Linked DNA regions of Pelodiscus sinensis. The protein of the gene in region 2 interacts with the protein of the main gene of each other region in a pairwise test. Links are inferred from orthologs where the notes say so. Each region holds a gene or a part of one and is shown on either strand. Other genes may lie near its edges.

What was found.
Region 1: the proteins of PRRC2B (region 2) and YTHDF1 interact in a two-hybrid assay, tested with the Homo sapiens proteins (2 studies listed by BioGRID, with this or other methods). The link is inferred for Pelodiscus sinensis from reciprocal best matches to the Homo sapiens genes PRRC2B and YTHDF1.

The regions. Positions count from the first base shown.
Region 1 is NC_134728.1:6,691,419-6,698,950, reverse strand, and holds the start of YTHDF1 (YTH domain-containing family protein 1), read right to left. Parts: upstream 3,006-7,532; 5' UTR 2,599-3,005; coding exon 2,572-2,598; intron 2,262-2,571; coding exon 2,237-2,261; intron 703-2,236; coding exon 623-702; intron 1-622.
Region 2 is NC_134732.1:14,401,446-14,408,999, reverse strand, and holds the start of PRRC2B (protein PRRC2B), read right to left. Parts: upstream 3,009-7,554; 5' UTR 2,833-3,008; intron 2,040-2,832; exon of another isoform or gene 1,495-2,039; intron 1-1,494.

The sequences.
Region 1 (7,532 bases), on a different chromosome or scaffold from region 2:
GAGGTAAGATTTGAGAAATTGAGTAACTCCACTAGAGATTAGGTTCTACTACAACAATGGGTGGGAGAGGATCTGTGGCCTGTGATGTGAAGGAAGTCAGATTAGATTATCACAATGGTCCCTTCTGGCCTTAAAGTTTGAGTTCTTGTCATAGCATCTCTAAGAGCTTCAAATAAATGCTAGTGGTCACTTACCATTATTTCCACCAGTCCTACAGAAACAGAACTCCAATGACTGCAACAATGAGTAAGCTGTCTATTAAAGAACTGACAGTGCAGGGCCCTTGGCAGGTTACCAGCTATGTCAGATTTTGCAGGAATTGTATCACTTTATAAGTGCCCAGCAAAAACTGAGATGGGAGCACTAACTTGCTTTCCACATGTGAGCAAATCAGATTATTAATGTATATATTATTAATTTATATGTATACCAGTATTCTTAACTAAAACAGTAGTGCCATTACTCAGTAACACTTCATGCACTATAGCTTCTACTTCCTTTTAAAACCATGATCCATCTGGGCATAAGCAAGGCATATTTGTGTTGGTTTTACAACACTACCCGCCACCCCTTTATAAAAAAATAAAAAAAGAGTCATCAAAATTAACAGAGATGCACTAACCTGATTTGACTGTCCAGAAAGGTAAGGTTCAAAATCGTTGTCATGAACTGCGTCCTTCTGGTGCAATGAACCATTCTGAACTACAACAAAAAGTTGCAACACATTAGAATATTGCCTGACAACGTTTCAATAAAGAAAATCACCCTAGAGTAACTTGACAAAAATAAGTTCTCTCTCTTCCTTCTTGTGGCATTGTTAATAATCCCTGGAGGCAAAGAGGTCAGATTTCACCAGAATGAAAACTCCCACATGCACTCTAAATGTCACTATTGCTTACAAAACAGATCTGAATGACAGTCAGAGGATCTCGCAATTTTAGTAAACATTATTTATACTTTCCCCATAAAATATTTTAAAACCAAACAGACAATGCTTGACAAGAGCTCATGAGAAGAAATGGAGGACATAGCAAGATCTTCTGTAAAAGCTAAGCAGCCTCTTTAAAAAGTAAAGATAAATCATATCAGAGGTAGAACAGTAAAATGGTGGCTGTTAAGTGTTTAATATCCAAATAGTATTTACAAATTTTAAATTCAAGCCTTGGTTTTCCTGTTCAAAAAAGGGGGGTGAAATTTCACTAAATCAGAGTTATTTGAGACTCAGTTAATATTTGTAAATCATCCTGACTTCCACAGCTGAAAGGTGTTATATAAATAAATTATTACACTTTACTCTTAATTTCCATCATTTGTTTTGAAGCATAAGTCACATTGTATTCATTAAGTCTTTGGATAGTAGCTCAAGACTTTTACAGGAGGGCTAAACTAAAAATATTGCTACAGGAAAAAGAAATATTATACTAAAACTAAAAGTTAAGATTTCAAAGAAGTCTGTAAGAGAAAAATAATGTTAAGATTCTGCCAGGAAAATGCATGCATAATATGAAGCCTGTATTTATAAAATGGGAAAAATAAGAGCTCACTGGGACTATAGTTGTTTGAAACACACTGATGAAGCAAAAATCAAATAACCTCAACACTGAAAAGTGTGCCCACGTAAAGTGATGGGAGTATCTGATTCCTTTCTATTCTTAAACAGTTATGTATTTGGTAGCAGTTATAGTAACATGCATAACAGTTTATAAAGAAGGGCATTTACTTAAAAGACAACTTGCTTCTGAAGTTTAATTTGACACACTGTACTACAGAGGTCCCTAAAAGCATATCACATTATCAGAGAAAACGTGGTTTGCTTAAGACTGAAATTATTTAATGGAAAAACCTGCATGACACCTGTCATGATCTATAAACTCTCATTTGCCAAAACTAGTTCAGTAACAGAAGAGTAATTACACAGTAGAAAATTAAAGTTAGGTTAAAAAGTAACCAATAATTTAAGTAAATGAATCTCCTAAAGAGTAAAAATAACTAACGATTTGCTTTTCTTAAATGTTTTTATTATTAAACAGTACTGTACAATCTCATGAATAGTGACACTAACGGCATGTAAACCCTTAGGAATTAGGTTCTTTAAAAAAAAAACACTCTCACTTTTCTCCATATTTCACCCCAAATTTTAAACTAATACCTATTGGCTCATGCATCATGGCCTGCCTGATTCCTCTGCTTTCACCAGTAACAAACTTAAGTGGAATGATCCCAACTCCTGCCTTACCTTTATTATCTTGTCCTTTCGGTCGCTGCAATGCCATGCGCAGGATTGCCAAGAGGAAAATAAAAACAAGCCAGCAAGTTAGTCTTGGAAAACGCTCTTGGCTCAATGGGGAACAGGGTGGGTGGGGAATATCCACGGGGGGGGGGGGGGAGTCTAGAGAGAGGGGGCGGGTAGGGTTGTTATTAAGGGCTACCCAGAGCTTTCCCTGGACAAGGCCACTGACCGGGAGAAGGCAGAGTAGGGGAGAGTTAACAGGGGAGCCCAGGAAGGAGAACAGGGCCACTCGGGGTGGGGGGAAGCCCCCAGGCCCGGGGGGGGGGGTGGCCACCACTTACCTGAGGGTCAACGCTTGTGGCAGACATAATTCATGTACAGGGCCCCGTGATGGGGGGCGGGGCCCCTCCGCGCAAAGGGGAGGAGCACGGGGAGAAGGCCGGGCCCCTCCTGGGGGGGCGGGGGCAGCGCCTGGGCCTGCGAGGGGGCGCGCGGGACCGGGCCGGGTCAGCGTGGAGGGCGGGTCCCCGCTGCGTCCCGCCGGGGGGTGGGGGGGGGGTCTCTCCTCAGGCAAGGCCCCCAGGCACGAGGGGGGATGGGGGTGCGCTCGCTCCTCGGCCTGCCGGCCCTTCTCCTCACATCCCCGCCCGCCCTCGCTCGCTCCGCGTCCCGTCCCGTCCCCCCCACCCCCCGCTGGCCCGGCGCCGGGATGGAGCGAGAGACCCTCCAACTCCAATGGCGGCGGGGACCGGGCGGCGGTGACGTCAACGCTACAGCGCGCGGGGGACGCCGGGAAGCCACGACGGGGTGAGGGAGGGGAGGAGTGGAGGGAAGGCAACACCTGCCGCGCATGCGCGAAGCTGTTCTGCCAGCTTCTCTTCCCCCCCCCTTCCCTTTTCCCATGGCTCGGGCTGCGTAGTTCCATGGCAAGCGCCTCCTTGGTTTTGTGTGTGGGGTCCTCCATGGGCTTTGGGGGGGGGGGATGGTATTACATGGGCTCGCCCACGCCAGCGTGTGTCTGTAGAGAAGGCTGCTGACTCTGCAGTGTAGCCCCCAGCCAGGGCAGAGGCGGCCCCCAAACCCTAGCTATGCCCCCCTCCCCGCAGAATCGCTATGGATAGTAATTCCCTGCTCCAAGAACAGTAGGGATCCGTTATCGGACACCTGACCAGGACAGTGATAGTGACTGTGAAATGCTAAGGGAGATTAGAGAGGCTATCAAAAAACTCAATAATAGTGGGGGATTTCAACTATCCTCATGTTGACTGGGTACATGTCACCTCAGGACCAGATGCAGAAACAAAATTTCTTGATACCTTAAACAACTGCTTCTTAGAGCAGCTGGTACAGGAACTCACAAGGGGAGAGGCAATTCTCGATTTACTCCTCAGTGGCCTGCAGGATCTGGTCCAAGAGGTAACTCTTAACAGGACCACTTGAAAATAGTGACCATGATATAACAACAGATAACATTCCTGTGGTGGGAAGAACACCTCAGCAGCCCAACACTGTGGCATTTAATTTAAAAAAGGGGAACTATGCAAAAATGAGGTTAGCTAAACAGAAATTAAAAGGTACAGCGACTAAAGTAAAATCCCTGCAAGCTGCATGGACACTTTTCAAAGACACCATAATAGAGGCCCAACTTAAATGTATACCCCAAATTAAAAAACATAGTAGAAGAACTAAAAAAGAGCCACCGTGGCTTAACAACCATGTAAAAGAAGCAGTGAGAGATAAAAAGACATCTTTTAAAAAGTGGAAGTCAAATTCTAGTGAGGTAAATAGAAAAGAGCATAAACACTGTCAAATCAAGTGTAAAAATTTAATAAGAAAAGCCAAAAAGGAGTTTGAAGAACAGCTAGCCAAAAACTCAAAAGGTAATAACAAAATGTTTTCTAAGTACATCAGAAACAGGAAGCCTGCTAAACAACCAGTTGGGCCCCTGCACGATCGAGATACAAAAGGAGCACTTGAAGACGATAAAGTCGTTGCAGATAAACTAAATGAATTCTTTGCTTCAGTCTTCACGGCTGAGGATGTTAGCGAGATTCCCAAAACTGTGTAGGTGACAAATCTGAGGACTTGTCACAGATTGAAATGTCATTAGAGGAGGTTTTGGAATTAATTGATAAACTTAACAGTAACAAGTCACCGGAACCAGATGGCATTCACCCAAGAGTTCTGAAAGAACTCAAATGTGAAATTGTGGCACTATTAGCTACGGTAATAGTAAAGAATAAAATTGTCGGATACATAGAAGAACATAATTTTTGGGGCAAAAGTCAACATGGTTTCTGTAAAGGGAAATCATGTCTTACTAATCTATTGAGTTCTTTGAAGGGGTCAACAAACGTGGACAAGGGGGACCCAGTAGCTATAGTGTATTTAGATTTCCAGAAAGCCTTTGACAAGGTCCCTCACCAAAGGCTCTTACGTAAATTAAGTTCTCATGGGATAAGAGGAAAGATCCTTTCATGGACTGAGAACTGGTTGAAAGACAGGAAACAAAGGGTAGGAATAAATGGTAAATTTTCAGAATGGAGAGGGGTAACTAGTGGTGTTCCCCAAGGGTCAGTCCTAGGACCGATCCTAATCAACATATTCATAAATGATCTGGAGAATGGGTAAACAGTGAGGTGGCAAAGTTTGTCAATAATACTAAACTGCTCAAGGTAATTAAGACCAAAGCAGACTGTGAATAACTTCAAAAAGATCTCACCAAACTAAGTGACTGGGCAACAAAATGGCAAATGAAATTTAATGTGGATAAAGTTAAAGTAATGCACATTGGGAAAAATAACCCCAACTATACAAATAATATGATGGAGGCTAATTTAGCTACAACTAATCAGGAAAGAGATCTTGTAGTCATCGTGGATAGTTCTCTGAAGACGTCCATGCAGTGTGCAGCGGCAGTCAAAAAAGCAAACAGGTTGTTAGGAACCATTAAAAAAGGGATAGCAAATAAGATGTAGAATATATTATTACCCTTACATAAATCCATGGTATGCCCACATCTGGAATACTGCATACAGATGTGGTCTCCTCATCTCAAAAAAGATATACTGGCATTAGAAAAGGTTCAGAGAAGGGCAACTAAAATGATTAGGGGTTTGGAACGGGTACCATCTGAGGAGAGATTAAAGAGACTGGGACTTTTCAGTTTGGAAAAGAGGAGACTAAAGGGGGATATGATAGAGGTCTATAAAATCATGAGTGGTGTGGAGAAAGTGAATAAGGAAAAGTTATTTACTTGTTTCCATAATATAAGAACTAGCAGCCACCAAATGAAACTAATGGGCAGCAGGTTTAAAACAAATAAAAGGAAGTTCTTCTTCACACAACGCATAGTCAATCTGTGGAATTCCTTGCCTGAGGAGGTTGTGAAGGTTGGGACTATAACAGGGTTTAAAAGAACTAGATAAATTCATGGAGGTTAAGTCCATTAATGGCTATTAGCCAGTATGGATAAGGAATGGTGTCTCTAGCCTGTTTCTCAGAAAGTAGAGATGGATGGCAGGAGAGAGATCGCTTGATCATTACCCGTTCGTTTCACTCCTTCTGGGGCACCTGGCTTTGGCCACTGTCGGCAGACAGGGTACTGGGCTGGATGGACCTTTGGTCTGACCCAATACAGCCGTTCTTATGTTCAGGAGACCAGCTGAAGTCCACGTGGCGAGGTGAGGTTCAGTATAACACGTGGAATTCCATGCCCCCACCACGTGGGTCTGGGCTGTGGCTTTTAAGTGCCCCCAAGTTGGTAAGGGGGGCTCCACAGCTGCTTGCAGGTGGTGTGTGGCTGGAGCTCAGTCTTCCCTCCTTTCTTCCGTAGCAGGGAGCCTGTGCTGGCACTGCAGCCTTGTCCTTCCTCATGAGGTTGGAGCACCTGCGCCGGCTTCCTGCTGGGGGTGGGAGTGGAGAGAAAGCCCCAAGCCTTGCTGCGCAATCAGGCTCACGAGGAAGATGCACTTCCTCTCCCCCTCCACACGGGGTACTGTTGCTACCGGAGCTGGTAATGGTCTGTGGTGTGCGAGATGCTGGAGACTGAGCAGTGGCTGGCACACTGCGCTCTGCAGGAGCACCTGGGTTTCTTCCTCCGCACACATTGGACAGAAAATCCAGACTGACCCCACGTGGGGGAAGGCCACAGGCTGAGCCCACCTCCCTTCCAGCAGAAGGTGGAAAAAAAGCTGCCCAAGAACGCAGCTGCAGCTGTTAACCAGGGGGGCAGCGTAGACCCAGGGGACACCCACTATCTCTGACTGAGGAGCAGAAGGCAGCATCCCTTTCCAGGGCCAAGGAGATGCTGATGCCGTAACTGCTGGAGACAGGTGAAGTGCTAATCCCTTCTGCCTCCCCAGCCAAAGTGGAGCACCAGGACAGGGCACCAAAGCCCAGGGCAGGTGTTCCTGGCAGGGGCACCCTGGGACTCAGGGTGTGTGCCCTCAGCAGGGCCAGGCCAAGGCTGTCTGAGTTCCTGGCAGCAGGGTGGATGCCCAGTGTGGTCCTGAAGCAGATGGCATGTGCCAGCCAGTCACTGGCAAGACTTTACCCCACAGCCCTTGTTTTGCATTTAATCTCCAGCTCCATTTTAAAAGCAGTTCCAGCCTTCACACACAGTCCTGGTCTTGCCTCAGTTACGCAGGGCCTCCGGATCAGATCTGGGTGGTGGCCTGGCCCCTTGCGGCTGGCTGCAGCCCCTCCAGCTGATCAAGTAGCTGGGAGACGTGGGGCCGCTCCTGAGAGTTCACCACCATCATGGAGGAGAGCAGGTGCTCCAGGGCAACCAAATACCAGCATCTCAGTTTACATGCCGCTTTAAAGAGTCGCCGCCTGCAACATGCGCCCTGTGACGCCTGCCAAGCTTTGCCTGGACGCGCTGCCTGGAGGCTTTCCCTGCTGCTCCCAATGACCAGAATCTGGCCAATGGGAGCAGCGGGAGGCAGTGCGTGAGACCAGCGCAGGGCCTGAAGACAAATAGGTGCTCCCCGCCACGTCTCTCTCACACACACACACCTTCCTGCCCCCGCACCACTGTTTCTTCACCCTCCCCCTGGCCAGACATACTACTCCCAGCCCACTCCTGCACCCACCCTTTCTCCTGTACCCTCCCTCCTGGCCACACACTGCATCTTCCTTTTTCTTGTCCCCTTCCCCTGGCCAGACCCCCTGCTCTCAGCCTGTTCCTGTACCCTACTTCCCATCCAGAACTCGCACCCTTAATTTCCTCCTGCATTTCACCCCCGCCCAGACCTTGCACCCTCACCCCCTCCTGTAATCCACCTCCCAGTCAGATCCT
Region 2 (7,554 bases):
ACTGGGAACTGATTCCCAGCTCACAATCCTAACCCATCCCCCAGCCACCCTGCTGCGCTTGCAGCTCTTAATACATTTAAAAGGCAGAGCCACAGAGGGCTTAGCTCCCAGCCCAGAAGCTAACCATGCAGTTTCACTCCCTTTAACAACTAATTGACTAGTCAAGTGAAAAGGAAAACAGACCATCCTCTCTTCAATGTGAAAGTCAAATTAAGTTCAAAAAGAAAAATTCAGAAAGAGCAATGAAAGATACATTTGATTTTAATCTTAAATTTTGCCAATCCTCTATGAACTTTTAATGTAATTTTTAACCTGACAACATCTTCTTATGCCTTAATGTGAAAGCACATTTCAGAAAGGACATCATGAAAATAAAGATTAACAATGAAGTCCTGTTAATCCTTCACACCTCAAACAACAGATGGGGGAAAAAAATCTCTAAAGACCTCAGTCTATGAGGAGCAACATGACTTCTCCACCCACCCTGAACACCACACCACTGACTTCAATGGGGCTCTGCATAGGCCCAAGGTTTTACCCACTTGTAGGTCTGAGAATCAGGGCCAAATTATTTACAGAAGCAAAAGTGCAATTAAAGTTTTAGCTACTCAGGGCTCCTCCTTCCCTTACCCCTGTGAATTTATCCCAGTCCTTGGTCCCTAAACTTTGGCTTTTAGACATTGAGCAACCACGATTCCAATTGAAGTTATGGATGGATGACACGAATGCACAGTATTTCAGAAAAATTCAGGTCCTGAAGTAGTATCCTGCAAGTTTATATTTGGCAAATCCACTTGTCATATGCCAACACTCCAATGCAAGCTCTTTGGGGACCAGGACTATCATCTTCTATGTTTGCAAAGTACCTCACACAACAGTTGCTGCTCTAGTTGAGGCATGCAGGCACTACTGCCATGGAAGTTCTAAACTAACTTATAGATCCTTATTCAGGACTCAGTTCTGCAAGATGAGGGGCACTGTCTGCTAATAATGAAGAGGAAGTATTGCAGCTTTCAGGATCAATGCCCATCCTCCCATGCAGTTTCTAGAAAGAGACACAGGGTCTTAAATGTTTTCATAACTTGTATATATTTTGCCAAATATTAATACTGTTAACATAAAAATGCATCATTATATGAAAGTATTAATCCATCAAATACAATCACTGCCTCCAAAATTTCTGCTGCTCTATCACCTTTTCTGTACCCAGAGTCTTTTCTACCTCTGAGGAAAAATTTTCATAACAAAACCCAAAACTCAGGATCAAATAACATTTGCAACCACAAAGCCCACACAGTTCTGCTAACCGAAATATCCACATATTCTTATGAGATGCATGGAAACAACATTATCTATAGAGCCAGGACCAGTTTCAAGCACACACCCCCACGAACCCAGAGGTAGTAAAATCTTTGTTAATAATAAAATATACATTTTTAATAAAACCACATGCATCTTCCAAGATCCAGCATCAAACACCAGAAACATCCCTACCGCATTTCACAGCCTCAGAAGCTGCGTTGTAAACACACCCCCACAAACTGCATTTCAGTCTCTGGAACCTCTTTGCACAGCTACAATAAAACAATCGGAGCTGCTCAGCTGAGCTTCAAACGCTTATTGAAACATCCACTGCAACAAGAATCTGATCGCTGTCAAATCAAAAGAGTGATTTCGATTTTCAACTGCCTTTGCAAAAAAGACCACCCCAAAAATCGACTAGTCAATAACACGCACAACGGTGTTAAATGAAACTGTTTCATACACCACCGTGTGTGCCGTAGCAGAGCAATGGGGGCTGGGCAGGAAGCTCTGGGAGACAGAACTGTACTGTAGCGCGTATAGTTTAATAATCCCAGATGGGGGAGGGTTTAGCAGTTTGTAATAACAGTAGCAGCAACATGGATCAGGCCTCCCATGACCCGAGTGCAGAACCAAAACAATGAGGCTGAACACTCATAGACTCTAGGCTCAGAAGGGACCATTATGATCATCTAGTCTGACCCCCTGCACAGTGCAGGCCACAGAATCTCACCCACCCCTCCCAGAATAATCCTCTCACCTATAGGACAATGTAGCACTTTAAAGACTAACAAGATGGTTTATTAGATGATGAGCTTTCGTGGGCCAGACCCACTTCCTCAGATATTGAAGCCTTCAAATACACGGGGGTTTTCTTTGAAGAAAAACCCACCCACAATCCGAACGGGCTAACCTAGCAAGCCACCAAGCTAAACAAAGCCCCCCGATGTATTAGAGCCTGAAAGGTGAACCCGGTCCCCACGCCTCTCAGCCCCCAACTGGGCGTGGGGGCCGCCTCGCAAGGCCCCGCATCTGCGGCTGGGAACCGAGGGAGGCTCCATCGCGGACTGGGCTTTGCAGCCTACAAACCGGCTCCAGCTTCCTGAGCTGGGGGAGACCAGAGGCTAATCCCCCCCCCCACACACACACACCCCCCAACCCTCCGAACCCGGGGTCAAGCGCCCTGAGGGGCTCCCCGGGGCTCCATCCCCCGGCTTTGTTCCGGGGCGCACGGGTCTGAAGCGGGGATCGGGCTGGGCCGAAGCGGGCACGGAACGCTGGGCAAGGCGGCGTTTGGGGTGCTGGGCTCCGGCCCGCTACAGCCGGGGGGGGGGGGTGGCGTGAATGAGTGAGACGGGGTTGAAATGGAGACCAGAGGGGGAGGGGAAGCCTGGGGCAGGTTCCCTCCGGGCTCCAGGCAGCCTCTGGCTCAGGCTCCATTTTAGGGCTGCCTTGGTCCCATCCCCCCCCCGCCGCATCAACCACCCTGAATAAAACCTCTCAGCCCCGCCAGCCGACCCCAATACCCACCTGTGGTGGTTGTCGGGAGCCGGGTCTGCCTGGGGAGCCGAGTCAGGAGGGTAGATGGGGGCTCAGGGAGCAGGATGGCTGCGGATTGAAAGGCAGAGGCGGCGCTGCCTGGATTGCAGGTTCTCGCTGCCTCTCTGTGTCTGCCTCCTCCTCCTCCAGTCCTCCCCCCTCCCCTGCTCCTGCACGGCCTGTCAATCCCCGGCCTGGAGTGAGCAACTCATCCCGCAGCCAGAGGCGTACAAACCGGACAGCGACACCTGCAGGGACTCCAGAGGAAAGCCAGGCGCACCGCGCCTCACAGGGGTTAACGATAGAGGCGAGGAGGTTGAAAGCAAAACGAGAGAAGAAAAAGAGATAGAAAGGAGGGAGCGTGCCGGAGAGGGAGGAGAAAGAGCGGGAGAAAGAGAATTAAAGAGTCAAAGACATGAGAAAAAGGGGGAAGAATGATTGGGAAAGATGCAGAGGTGCCTGCAGAACTGTCTAACTCCAGCCTCTGCTCTGGGGAGCTCTCTTCTGCTCTGATTCCCAAAACCTGAGGGATTCTGGCAGAGGACAGTACAGTATGCACCTTGATTACAGCCCACAAGAGGGGTCATGAAACTGATTGCAGGAGGAGAGGATGGGAGCTTGGTCCTGCCAAGGCAGACACTGGCAGGGGCAGCTCTGGGATCCTGGAGCTCTACAGTTGTCAGGATTACTTTATAGTCAGGCAGAAACTATTCTTTGGATTTCAATAAAAAGCCCCATGGTGATTAGATGTGCATGCAAAAGTGAGAGAGAAGCCTAGGCTGGACAGGAGGTTTGGTCAAGAAGCTGCAGCCAAATACCAGGCTTTCCCATTTCTCATTGTAGGCAGATATGATATGAAAGTTGAGAAGAAGTCAATTAAGGAAAGAAGGAAGAGGAAAGTCTTTCCCTTGCCTGCAAGGGCTTTAGATTGAGCCCAGAATGCACAAAGGAGGAAGCAGTTTCTCAATAAAGTGAGAAGCCATGGAATTTCTGTCTCTCTCACCCCGCTCTCTAAACATTAAATCAGTTCCCAAACTGGCAATGATACAGCACCCCTTAATGCAGCCTTGCCATGGAGTGACCACCCTTTTAACACTGAGATGGGAGCTCATTTTCCATAACCCATCTCCCTTTATTAAGATAGCCAGCAAGGAGTCCTATTAATGGCAGATGTAGTAGCAGTTGTGTGGCATGGATACCTGTCTGGTAAGAAGTGGCCTGAGACCATTTCACACTGGCTGCCAGATACCTGTCAAACACCGAGCCTTTTTTTCTTCCTACCTAAATTTAATGTCTCACACATGATTCTTCTTTGATTTTATACCTCAGGAAATCACTGTCGCCAGCAGAGAATTCCCCTCTCTGCCTAGCATGTTCCTGTTTACATTGGGATACATAATAAGATAGCAATAGAAAATTTAATTCTCCTTTATTATGACATTCATATTTGGTGCCCATCACTCTACCATGCACTGTTATTGTAGGAGGTTTCAGTACCAATCTTCATCATCTCCTGCTCCAACATTGAAACTTTCTCTCTTAAGAAGGAAAAACTATGTAGCATTTTAAAGACTAAGATGGTTTAATAGGTAATGAGCTTTCGTGGGCCAGACCCACTTCCTCAGATCATATTCTGGAAGAGAATTGGCATAACCATATATATCAGAGGAATACAATGAAAAAAGTGAACACATTATTAAACTGACAAATCAGATTTAGTACAGAAGGTGGGGTGGGTGAGAGGGAGAGAGGGAGGGAATAGCTACTTATGAGTCAATGAATGGCTAATCAGAGGTGATAAGTGGGGAAGCTATCTTGTAATGGGGAAGATAATTAGTATCTTTGTTAAGGCCTATTCTTAAAGTGTCAAATTTAAGCATGAATGAATGTTCTGAAGTTTCCCTCTGTAATCTGGTGTTAAAGTCTCTTTGAAGTAAGATGCACATAGTAAGGTCGTTAAGACTATGTCCAGCTAGGCTGAAATGAAAAACAACTGGTTTTTCCTTGTGAGGATGTCTGATGTCTGATTTATGGGCATTAATTCTTTGGCGAAGTGTCTGAGAAGTCTGTCCAATATACATAGCAGAAGGACATTGTTGGCACATGATGGCAGAAATTATATTTCTGGATGAACAGGAATATGTGTTCTTGATCATATAACTGACATGGTTAGGTAGGACCAGTGATGGTGTCACCAGAGTAAATATGTGGACAACGTTGGCAGCGGTGTTTGTTGCAAGGGAAAGTTCTGGGGTTGGTATTAATGTGGTATGTCCTGTGGTTGTTGGTAAGAATCTTCCTGAGGTTAGGTGGTTGTCTATAGGAGACTATGGGTCTGTCCCCCAGAGCCTCTCGGATTGTAGTATCCTGTTCCAGTATAGGTTGTAGGTTATTGATAATGCGTTGGAGGGTTTTAAGTTGGGGGCTATTGGTGATGACAAGTGGTGTTCTATTATTGGTTTTCTTGGGCCTATCTTAAAGTAAATGGTTTCTGGGTATTCGTCTGGCTCTTTCAATTTGTTTTTTTATTTCCCCGGGTGGGTAATTGAAATTTACAAATGATTTGGTAGAGATTTTGAAGTTTATGGTCTCTGTCAGTGGGATGAGAGTGGGATTAGAGCAGATGAGGTTGTACCCCCAGATCTCTCCCCTCCACTCTCAGGATGTTATACTTATAAGAAGCACACAGGATCTTTTTCAGGGGAAAAGGCAATACACCACATTTACTGAAAACTAGAAGATTTACCTGGCATTGCTCAGGGCCTTAACTCAAATAAATTTTGTTTTTCTTCATTTAAATCATGATTCTGGGATGGGGTGAGGAATGATGGGTTGAGTATACAGGACAATCTCAGAACTCTTTCATTGTAGCAGCTTGGGACAAGGTGAGAAGCTCCTGTCCATGGCTGCTGCCGTTGCAGTGGGTACAGCAGGGGGAGGGTTGCATGTCCCCCAGCTGGGGAACAGTGAGACACACAAACAGACAAACCAAACTTTGACTGGTTCAGGGAACTGGTGGGCAGGATACCCTGGGATGCTAACATGAAGAGGAAAGAAATCCAGGAGAGTTGGCAGAAACCTTGTTGAAAGCACAGGAACAAACCTCCCAATGCACAGTAAGAGAAGCAAATACGGTAGGTGAACAGCTTGGCTTAGCAGTGAAATCCTTGGCAAGTTTAAACAGAAGAAGGAAGCTTACAAGAAGTGGAAACTTGGACAGATGACTAGGAGTATAAATATATTGCTTGAGATGCAGGGGTGTAATCAGGAAGGCCAAAGCGCAATTGGAATTGCAGCTAGCAAGGGATGTGAAGGGAATCATTAAAGGGTTCTACAGGCATGTTAGCAATAAGAGGGTGACCAGGGAAGGAGTGGGACCCATCTTAAAAAAAGGGAGGAAGGACAATCCAGAGAATTGCAGACCGGACAACCACCCCTCAGTCCCCAGAAAAATCATAGCGGGGATACTCAATGGATCCATTTTGAAGCACTTGGAAGAGAGGAAAGTGATCATGAATAGTCAACATGGATTCACCAAGGGCAAATCATGCCTGATCAACATGATTGCCTTCTATGACCAGGCAACTGGCTCTGTGGGTACGGAGAAGGCAGTGGACATGATATATCTTGACATTAGCATAGCTTTTGATATGGTCTCCCACAGTATTCTTGCCAGCAAGTTAAAGAAGTATGGATTGGATAAATGGACTGTAAGGTGGCTAGAAAGTTGGCTAGATTGTTGGGCTTAGTGATAAATGGCTTGATGTCTGGCTGGAGGTTGGTGTCAAGCGGAGTGCCCCAGGAGTCAGTTCTGGGGCCAGTTTTGTTCACCATCTTTATTAATGACCTGGATAAGGGGATGCATTGCACCTTCAGCAATAACACTAAGCTGGGGGAGAGGAAGATACGTTTTTGGTACAGATAGGGTCCAGAGTGACCTAGACAAATTGGAGGATTGGGCAAAAAGAAATCTGATGAGGTTCAACAAGGACAAGTGCAGAGTCCTACACTTGAACGGAAGAATCCCAAGCACTGTTATAGGCTGGGGACCAACTAGCTAGGCAGCAGTTCAGCAGAAAAAGACCCGGGGATTACAGTGGATGAGAAACTGGATGAGTCAACAGTGTGTCCTTGTAGCAAGAAGGCTAATGGCATATTAGGGTGCATTAGGAAGAGCATTGCCAGCAAATCTAGAGAAATGATTATTCCCCTGGTGAGGCCACATCTGGAGTACTGCATCCAATTTCTGCCCCCTCTGCCCCCCCTGCCCTCCCCGTCACAGAAAGGATGTGGACGCATTGGAGAGGGTCCAGTGGAGGGCACTGAAAATGATTAGGGGGCTGGAGCACATGACTTATGAGGAGAGGCTGAGGGATTTGGACAGTCTACAGAAGAGAAGAGTGAGGGGGCATTTGATAGCAGCCTTTAACTACCCAAAGGGAGGTTCCAAAGAGAATGGAGAGAGGCTGTTCTCAGTGGTGACTGATGACAGAACAAGGGGCAAAGGTCTCAAGCTGCAGTGGGGGAGGTCTAGTTTTAGTGGGGGGAAACTATTTCACTAGGAAGGTGGGGAAGCACTGGAATGGATTACCTAGGGAGGGGGTGGAATCTCCATCCCTAGAGATTTTTAAGTCCCGGCTTGACAAAGCCCTGGCTGGGATGATTTAGTTGGGCTTGGTCCTGCTTTTGGCAGCAGGTTGGACTTGATGACCT